Linked DNA regions of Nothobranchius furzeri. The protein of the gene in region 1 purifies or fractionates together with the protein of each later gene. This does not show direct contact. Links are inferred from orthologs where the notes say so. Each region holds a gene or a part of one and is shown in the gene's direction. Other genes may lie near its edges.

Evidence for each region.
Region 2: the proteins of ppp2r3c (region 1) and cep43 purify together in Homo sapiens (affinity purification with mass spectrometry; 3 studies listed by BioGRID and IntAct, counting the BioPlex papers as one, with this or other methods). This does not show direct contact. The link is inferred for Nothobranchius furzeri from reciprocal best matches to the Homo sapiens genes PPP2R3C and CEP43.

The regions. Positions count from the first base shown.
Region 1 is NC_091758.1:40,633,050-40,637,492, forward strand, and holds the start of ppp2r3c (serine/threonine-protein phosphatase 2A regulatory subunit B'' subunit gamma), read left to right. Parts: upstream 1-1,535; 5' UTR 1,536-1,651; coding exon 1,652-1,718; intron 1,719-1,813; coding exon 1,814-1,938; intron 1,939-2,134; coding exon 2,135-2,239; intron 2,240-2,619; coding exon 2,620-2,732; intron 2,733-2,992; coding exon 2,993-3,090; intron 3,091-3,281; coding exon 3,282-3,352; intron 3,353-3,436; coding exon 3,437-3,569; intron 3,570-3,701; coding exon 3,702-3,757; intron 3,758-4,443. Other genes in the region: prorp (mitochondrial ribonuclease P catalytic subunit), read right to left, coding at 1-95, 268-619. UniProt on the Homo sapiens protein: May regulate MCM3AP phosphorylation through phosphatase recruitment. May act as a negative regulator of ABCB1 expression and function through the dephosphorylation of ABCB1 by TFPI2/PPP2R3C complex.
Region 2 is NC_091742.1:15,835,629-15,840,107, reverse strand, and holds the start of cep43 (centrosomal protein 43), read left to right. Parts: upstream 1-1,570; 5' UTR 1,571-1,716; coding exon 1,717-1,800; intron 1,801-4,479. UniProt on the Homo sapiens protein: Required for anchoring microtubules to the centrosomes. Required for ciliation.

The DNA.
Region 1 (4,443 bases):
CATCTGGCAGTCAAAGCTATTTGGATTCCCGAGAGATTCCTTCATCTTCCTCCACTCATCAGGAGGAAGGGGCCTTTCAGGAGGCTGCAGCTTTCCTGTCAAACACGTCTATTTCAGAGCAGCAAATGCAAACAATAAAATTCCTCCATAAACTATGTTGTTGCTTTTTTAAATCTGTAAACAGGGATTAAGATCTCAAAGTTACTGTTGCAGGTAGAAGACTCTCAGTAGTGTAACTATACAAATATCTGGGTATAAAAGTATTACCTGCTCCTCTGTTTGTTCTGCGTTGAGGCTCTTCTTCATCTTCAGAGACTAACGATGCTTTCTTCTGCTGAATCCTAGCTATCTTCTTTGCAGTCCCAGCAGCAAAAACAGATTTAGGAAAAGAAGGCAGCTGCCTCAAGGTGTATTTCTTACTTCTTCCATCCTCTGAATCCTGTTTATAAGTTATTTTTTTCATTCTAGATTGTCCATCACCCTGTCCACTGTTTCTTCTGTCCATCTGTCCGCCACCCAGGTTTGATTTAATGTATTGTGTGCAAAGAAAGCGTGCGGAGGAAGGCAGCAAAGGCGAGTTTAAACATAATCTGACTTTTAATATTAAATTAGAGCCCATTTTATAGTGTTTAACAGCTACCCGGCAGAGGATTTTCTGGTAAAATATATTGGTTTTTACTTCAACCCGAGATATAAATGCATAAACAAGTTTTACCAAATGAATGATTCATAAAAAAATGTACGTTTTGTTTGGAATGTAAATTGAAAAACACTGATGAGTAGAAATATCAAGTTACTTAAAACTGAAATATATCTTTATGGTTCTGCTGGATTTATAATTATATAGACATAAATATAACTTACGATTATTTAAGTACGTAAAAAGAACCATTAAATCAGCTCATTTACGGTGTTTGCGCTTGGATAAAGCATGCCTCCCAGGTCGCACATTACTGTCGTCATCAACACGAGACTAGTTCCGATGCTGCATTTTGGTACCTCAGATTTACACAGAATTTACAGAATACACCGCTAAAACGCCATTCTATTTTACAATTAGTTAGCGTTTGAAGCACGAAATGTGAAAAAGGAATGATTAATTTTTGTAAAATTTTATGTAAAACGCCCACTTACAACTGCTGCAACAAAAACAACAAAATATTTAAATTTACACATTTTGAAAGAAAGAAGAAAAATGTCATTTTTCGATTGAGAAGTATTCTGATTCTGTGGTATAATTAAGTAGAACAATAATGTTTTAACATATAAAGTAACGTTTGTTTAGGGGTTTGCGTTCAGTTTTTACATTTGGAGAAAGAAAGAAGCCCCGATTTCTCGTTTTCTGAAAAAGTGACACTATCAACATTTAGTGTTTCAAAATAAAGCTACAAAGCAAATGAAAACATTTTGTGTTGTTGAGGCTGCATCAGCATATAATCTATCTGGACAAAAAAATAATATATTTTTGTCATTCAAACGTTTAGATGTTATACATAAATTTCACGTCTTGTTTTTTATTTTGAAAACATGGCAATTAACCGGAAGTAGCTCTATTTCACTTTGACGTTGAATCTTCCTAGCTTCTTTCGTGAACTAGCTGTTTTGACGAAAAACATTATAAAGTTGATGTTAAGTTGTTTTCTCAGCCGGTATGGCTAAAGAGGAGGACTCCAACTGGGCGGATATTCTCAAGAGAAGACTCGCCAACTATAAAAAGGGTCAGAAACTGTGTTGTTTTGATGAGCTAACGTAGGCTTGTCATGTTTTGGTTTTGTTGAGTGATTTTCTGTCCGTTCTTTTCTTCTTTGAGAAGACGAGAGGAGTGAAGATGAAAAGAAAGAGGAAGAAACTGAAATGTTCACCAAATATTACACAGAATGGAGAGGAGGTGTCGATAATGACAAATCGTATAAAACCATACCACGGTTTTATTATAAGGTAGTTGTTTATTCAAATGCTGAATGGTACAATACATGTAAACAGTTTGTAGTTTCTTCATAGTTTGCTTTAGACGTACAAGATAATCTTGCAAGCTGTGTTTTAAGAGTTTAAGCTATGGAAGCAGGTCCTGGTGAGTTGATTTGAAACGATCCAGATGTTGTGAAAACATCTGTGTGATGATGATGTTTTGCAGCTTCCAGCAGAGGATGAATTGCTCCTTCAGAAGCTCAGAGAAGAATCCAGAGCCGTTTTCCTCCAGAGGAAGAGCAGAGAACTGTTAGACAATGAAGAGCTCCAGGTAAAAACAGAACTATTCAGCAGATCGTAAATGGCCTGTATTTGTTATGGCCTTCTAGAGGCCTGGAACCCTCCAAGGTGTTTTACAACACAATCAGTAATTCACATTCACACCCTGGTGGTGATGAGCTACATTGTAGCCACAGCTGCCCTGGCGCACAGTGACAGAGGTGATTCTGCCACACACAGGCCCCACCGGTCCCTCCAACCACCCCCAACCGGCAAGGTGGGTTAAGTGTCTTGCCCAAGGACACTGCAGCAGCAGAGTGAACAGGGCTCGAACCTGCAACCTTCCGATTATGGGGCAAGCACTTAACTCCTTTCCCACAGTCTCTAACAGGAAAAAAATGGTCACAGATGGATTGTGTTGTGTTTTTGTAGAATCTGTGGTTCCTGCTAGACAAACACCAGGTGCCTCCAGTGAATGGAGATGAAGCCATGATCAACTACGAAGCTTACCTGCAGGTGGGGGAGAAGGCAGGAGAAAAGTGCAGGTGAGTAACTAGGAGTTGGTTCTTCCTCGTAGAACAGGGTTCTGCACAGAGAGCTGCTCTCATTTGCACCCAAGAGTTTGATGCTTAAGTGCCTGAAAACTTTAGATTTAAGTAGGAAGACACTAAAGTATAACTGCATTAAAAGTTGCTTAAGAGCATCCTAGTTTCTGGAAACTGCAAACCTTTAATTCTTTTAACGCATTAATTAATTTCCCTTTATTTCAGACAGCTAATATATCGTACATCTGTTTGTCTTACAGAAAGTTTTTCACAGCCAGAGTTTACGGCAAACTGCTGCACAGTGACCCGTACGGCCGAATATCCATCATGCAGTTCTTTAACTACGTTATGAGGAAAGGTTTGAAAAAAGTCTTTCTTTTCTTTTCTTTTTTGACTTTTTAATGAAACAAACTGCAAAGGTTATTTGTTTGTTCTGTTAGATTAAAGGTTTCTGCGGCACGTGTTATTTATTTTAATGTTTGCTTTAGTCAGCTCCGGTGGCTTGCATGGGGCTCTCATAAGTATGGGATCATTTCTGTTCTGGTTTAGTTTGGTTGCATCAGACCCGAATTGGCCTGAGTCTGTATGATGTAGCGGGACAAGGATACCTGAGAGAATCAGTAAGAGTCAAACACCCGTTTCACTTCACACATAAATCTAATTTATTGATCTAATTGGTTGTGTGATGTTTCTCATCCCTATAGGATCTAGAGAACTACATCCTAGAGCTGATCCCGACTCTACCTCAGCTGGACGGACTGGAGAAATCGTTTTATTCTTTCTACGTCTGCACGGCTGTTCGCAAGTTTTTTTTCTTCCTCGATCCGCTTCGGACCGGTGAGTTCAGGTGATTCGTTAGTCCGTGCACCCTCGTCGACAAAGCTCAGTTTGCGTATTCTTTGATGTAAACGATGTGCAGACGTAGCGAACATTTGTGTCTCTCTAATGTAAAGAAACGTGTGTTAACAGGAAAGATTAAAATTCAAGATATCTTGGCCTGCAGTTTCCTGGATGACTTGCTGGAGGTAGGAAGTTCTTCACTCGTTCGAGTGTTCAGTAATGATCAGACACCAGTTTTGTTGTTTCAATGTTTTTTTTGGAGACTACTCAAAAAAAAAAAGTAATCCGACAATCAGAATCAGACAAAATGCAGCCTGATTGGCTTAACCTGTGAAAAGTCAGATTACTCATTAGACACTAAGGGCTGAATCACTAACACGTCTTCCGTGTAGACGTTTTTGTTTCCAGAATCATGTTAGCTTTTAACTTGCTATGCTTTCCTCCTTACTTTAAGAAGCTAAGAGGACAGAGAAAAGATAACAGATGAGAAAGAAACCTGGGTATAAAAATATTTTCCTTATTTAATTAAAACGTTGATATATTTACTCAAGCTGGTACGGGTTTCTAAGAGCTTCTATAAGCAAAAAGGCTCTCTGAAGCCAAACAAAATGAGCCTTTTAAAGAACAGAGAATTATTAGATTTCTGTCTAGGCAAAGATACCAGTATGAAGCGATTGGCACTAGAGGCTAGGAACCACTGACTCAGGCTTTAGTAGAATACCACGCAGAGGCTTTCCTCTAACCACGCGCACGTAATCACAACCGTATTGTCCAGAACGGAGCAGAAATGGAGACTACTCATGGGTTAGGAGTAGCTCCTCGGGCGTGTATCCAACGTTCCTTTTATCCTTTCACGGGAACAAAGATGAGC
Region 2 (4,479 bases), on another chromosome or scaffold:
CAGACCATCTGAGGCTCCCAGTCGGGAATACTGGAATCATTTGGTATTCCACAAGGACCAGTTTTAGAGTCCCTCTTGTTGAAAGAAGAGTTTTAATGTAAACCAAGACCCACATCTGATCAGAAACTGGGCCACCTTAGATCCTTGCGGCTGCAGTTTTCACACTGACGGGAGATCTGAAGATCGGGATCAGAATAAACTGAACGTCTGAGGAGCTGGTGGCTCATGCTGACTCAGAAGAAGCTGCAGATGTGGACCACATGTGGGTCAGATCTAACCAGCTTTGATGTAGAAATATTAACCGTGGCTTTATTAACACATACATGTAGATGCCAATAAAACAAATATATATAATGGGTTTGTTTTCTTTCCTAAATGAAGTTTTTTTCAGATTCTATTTAAAAATGATCCTCTCAGATCTTTGACATATAAACTCTTTCCTCTCCCCAAAAGTCTCGACCTAAAAACACAAACATGGAAATCTGAAAGACAAATAAGTTTTGAGATGAAGGAAACATTTTTAATCTTTTTTGTAAACATGAATGATTCATTTATCTGTAATTGTCCTTAACGAACTTTAAATCTTTGACTCGTTACAACAAAATGTTTCATTTATTATTTATAAATGATTTTCCCATGAACATCCAGAGCCCTGAGGACTGATGTGTATTAGTGTGTTAAAACACCAAATTAAGCTTCCTTACTAATCAAATTTCCTGCAGAAGTTCTTCTCAACCTTATATTTTAAGAACCCTTTCATAACTCAGCGAAGAGTTTTGCACCCAGTCTAAACACCCAACGTCTAACTAATGCAGAGTGCAGTTTAGGAGCTTGCTTGTCTAACTTTAGTTATTCTGTGCTCTGAGATAAGAGGTCACCTCACATTAGAAGAACCGGGCCTCGTATGGAGCAGCAGGTCAGTTCAACCTCTGGCTCCAGGACAATTAGACCATCTACTGATAGGGAAAGCCACTGACACACTTTTGTTTTTGATATGAACAACATGACGATTGAGTTCCTGCTCGCTACAAGCCCGAGGAAACAAACCTCCCAACTACCTCCAAAAATGAAATAGTTGGCTTGCCTTAAATCTTCATTAAATCTTTCAACTTTATTTCACTGTTCTACTAGTTACTGTGTGATGTCTTCCACATCTGAAAGTTCTCACCACGAGGAGGATGTTTGTCCATGAAGTAATCTAATTCTGTCAAGACTTTTTGGAGGAAAACAAATCTTGAAATAGTTCAGTCCATTGTTTAGGTGACTTGGTTAAAAACGCAGAAGTATTATTTCATTTAATAAGAAAGAAATTGGAATAAACCGGAAACTGAAATGAATCTATGCCAGTTTATCTAGCAGGTGGCACTAAAGTTCAACTTAAAGGAATAACAGAAGAAATAACCTCAGCTTCACAACAATTATTATTTACTTATTTATAAAACTATGATTAAAAATTCTAAACACGTTTAGCATTATTAGTTTAGAAAAACCAATCAATCGAAAAAAAAATGAAATGAAATAAAAATAAAAGTAAGATAAACAACAATCCACACCCCCATCCGATAGGTGGCGGTGTCGCACCGAGACGTTTAGCCGACTCGTCAGTCGTCATCCTCCGCAGCGGTTCCGTGTTGTTTATTGTGTTGTTTAATTTTGTAGAGTTGTTTGTTTGTTGTATTTTGCTGTCTAAGCTAGTCAGCGTCGGTTCGCGTCAACATGTCGGCTGCGGAGGACGACACGGAGCTGAGGGACCTGCTGATCCAGAACCTGGAGAACAGCGGGGTCCTGAACAAGCTGAAGGTCTGAAAGCTGATCTGAGAACAGATTTCTGTGTTAGCATCAGGGGCTAACAGCCTCAAGTGTCATAGTGAAGATGTCCGACTGGTTTAGAGTCACTAAATGAGGGACAACAGCGCTAGCTAACTGTTAACTAAGTTAGGTCATGTTTAACTAGACGAGAGGGGATGTGGCGTTCTGCGTAGCAGGACCAAAACTTCCCGTCTGTGAGGCTCTCCATCAGACTTCAGCAGGTTTTTAGAACAAGGATGAAGAATCGCTTTTATGGTTTGGCTTTTAACTCTCTGGGTTAGATGTTGCTGATCTTTTACATATTTTTACTTTATGGTTTTTGATTGTTTTTGGTGATTTTATCAGTTTTAATTAGTTACTCTGCAGCAGTTTGGTGGCATGCCTGTAAGGGGCTCTATATACGCACGCACTGATGTGCGGAGAGTCCGCAATCCTACCTCCCCACCTAATGGACACTTACTTATGTTGTGTGATGTCTTAAGTCTGTTGCATCTTTGCATAGCAAAGCTGCCCTCCCTGTGGAGGGTAACTCTGAAGTGCCCTTTTTTCCCTCCACCTTACTCCATCCTCATGTAACTCTCTGATCTCTATGAAGGTCGCGCGACTCGGGTTGCGAATGACCACAGTCACCAGTTCTTGTCATGTGTCTTTGCCTATGTTTGTCTGATCTCAGAATTGTGTGTACTGAAACTCAAATTTCCCTCTGGGATTAATAAAGTATCTTTGAATTGAATTGAATTATAAATAAAGATGATGATGACTGCCAGTTAGCTCCTGGTTAACTAGCTCTAGGTTTTAAAACATAAATAACAAAACAAGCATCTCTGCTCTTTATATCACTTAACATCGGTACCATGTAGAAGCAAATGAAGAAGTAACCCACTAATAACGTCTAAAACCCAACAAAACCATAAAGATAATATAAGCCCAGTTCTTTTGGGGATTATTTACTCTAGCTATTCTGAACGGTTTAAAGATTTTTTATCTCCAAGTTGTTTAAAAAAATATTTCAATCATTTTAAAATCCAATAAATGTTGAAAACCTTTTAGAAAATCCTACATTATTACTGTTTTAACCACTGAGTTTGTTTTTCAGTCTGAACTCATGACTTTAAAACAGTCTTCACAGTGGAAAGTTTAATAAAAGTCCCTGTGTGTGTGTGTGTGTGTGTGTGTGTGTGTGTGTGTGTGTGTGTGTGTGTGTGTGTGTGTGTCTGAACCGTAGGTGAAAAATCTGGTGTTTTAGTGTTTTAAGTTTTAAAAAGAACTGATTAAGGCCCACAAATATGTCAAACACAGAATGAATATACAAAAGATGATTAATGCCCAATTTGAAAATTATTATCACAAATGAGCCCCTGGATAAAAAAAAACATAACTGTTAAACCCATAAATAATAATTGTTTTAAAATGAAAACAAAAAAGATTTCTAGGAGCAGCGAAGGTGTTGAGGGAATCCGTTTTGGTGGCCCGAGGAATGAGTCTCTGTATTTTGCAGATGATGTGGTCCTGTTCATCATCAGAACCTGATCTCCAACTCTCACTGGAGCGGTTCGCATCCGAGTGTGAAGCAGCTGTGATGAAAATCAACTCCATGCTCGAGTCAGAAAAGGGTAGAATGCCTTCTGTGGGTCAGGGATGGAGGAGTTTAAGACAAGACAGCTTTATTAATTCAATTCTTTATTCAGGACAATGACATTAATAAACAATCAAATACATTGTATCGATCGTAAATGGGCCAGATTATAGCATAGTTGCTAATTTGCATCTGTAGTCTGATGGCTCATTTCCTACACAAAGGCAACTCGGTGTGCTTTACAGCAATAAGAACAGACAAGATCAACACAAAAATTAACAATGGACTACTAAAACTAGAAGACTAAAACATAAGTATCTCGGGGTCTTGTTCACGAGTGAGGGAAAACTGGAGCGTGAGATCGATAGGCGGATTGGTGCTGCATCTGCAGTGATGCGGGCGTTGTACCGGTCTGTCGTGGTGAAGAGAGAGTTGAGTCAGAAGGTGAAGCTCTAGATTTACTGGTCAATTTACGTTCCTACCCTCACCTATGGTCATGAGCTTTGGGTAGTGACCGAAAGAACGAGATCATGGATGCAAGAGGCTGAAATGAGTTTTCTTTACAGAGTGGCTGGGCTCTCCCTTAGAGATAGGGTGAGAAGCTCGGTCATCTGGGAGGGGCTCAGAGTAGACCTGCTGCTCCTCCACATCGAGAGGAGCCAGTTGAGGTGGCTCGGGCATCTGGTCAGGATGCCTCCTGGACGCCTCCCTGGTGAGAGAGGAGGCCTAAAGGTAGACCCAGGACACGCTGGAGGGACTATGTCTCTCACCTGGCCAGGGAATGCCTTGGGATTCCCCCAGAGGAGCTGGCCCAAGTGGCTGGGGAGAGGGAAGTCTGGGCCTTCCTGCTTAGGCTGCTGCTCCCTCACAACCTGACTCTGGATAAGTGGAAAAAAATGGATGGATGTTTTAAAATGAACTTTGTCCATTTTTGGTAACTAAAGAAACAATAAACATCTAATTTGATTATTTTTACATTCTAAAATCTTTCAAATTGTCTCAAAAAATGAAAAATAAATGTTGTCAATAATCCTCATCCTTTTGTCCCAGAAGAGTTAAACAGCAGTCCTTTAGTCGGGTTTAAGATGAGTACA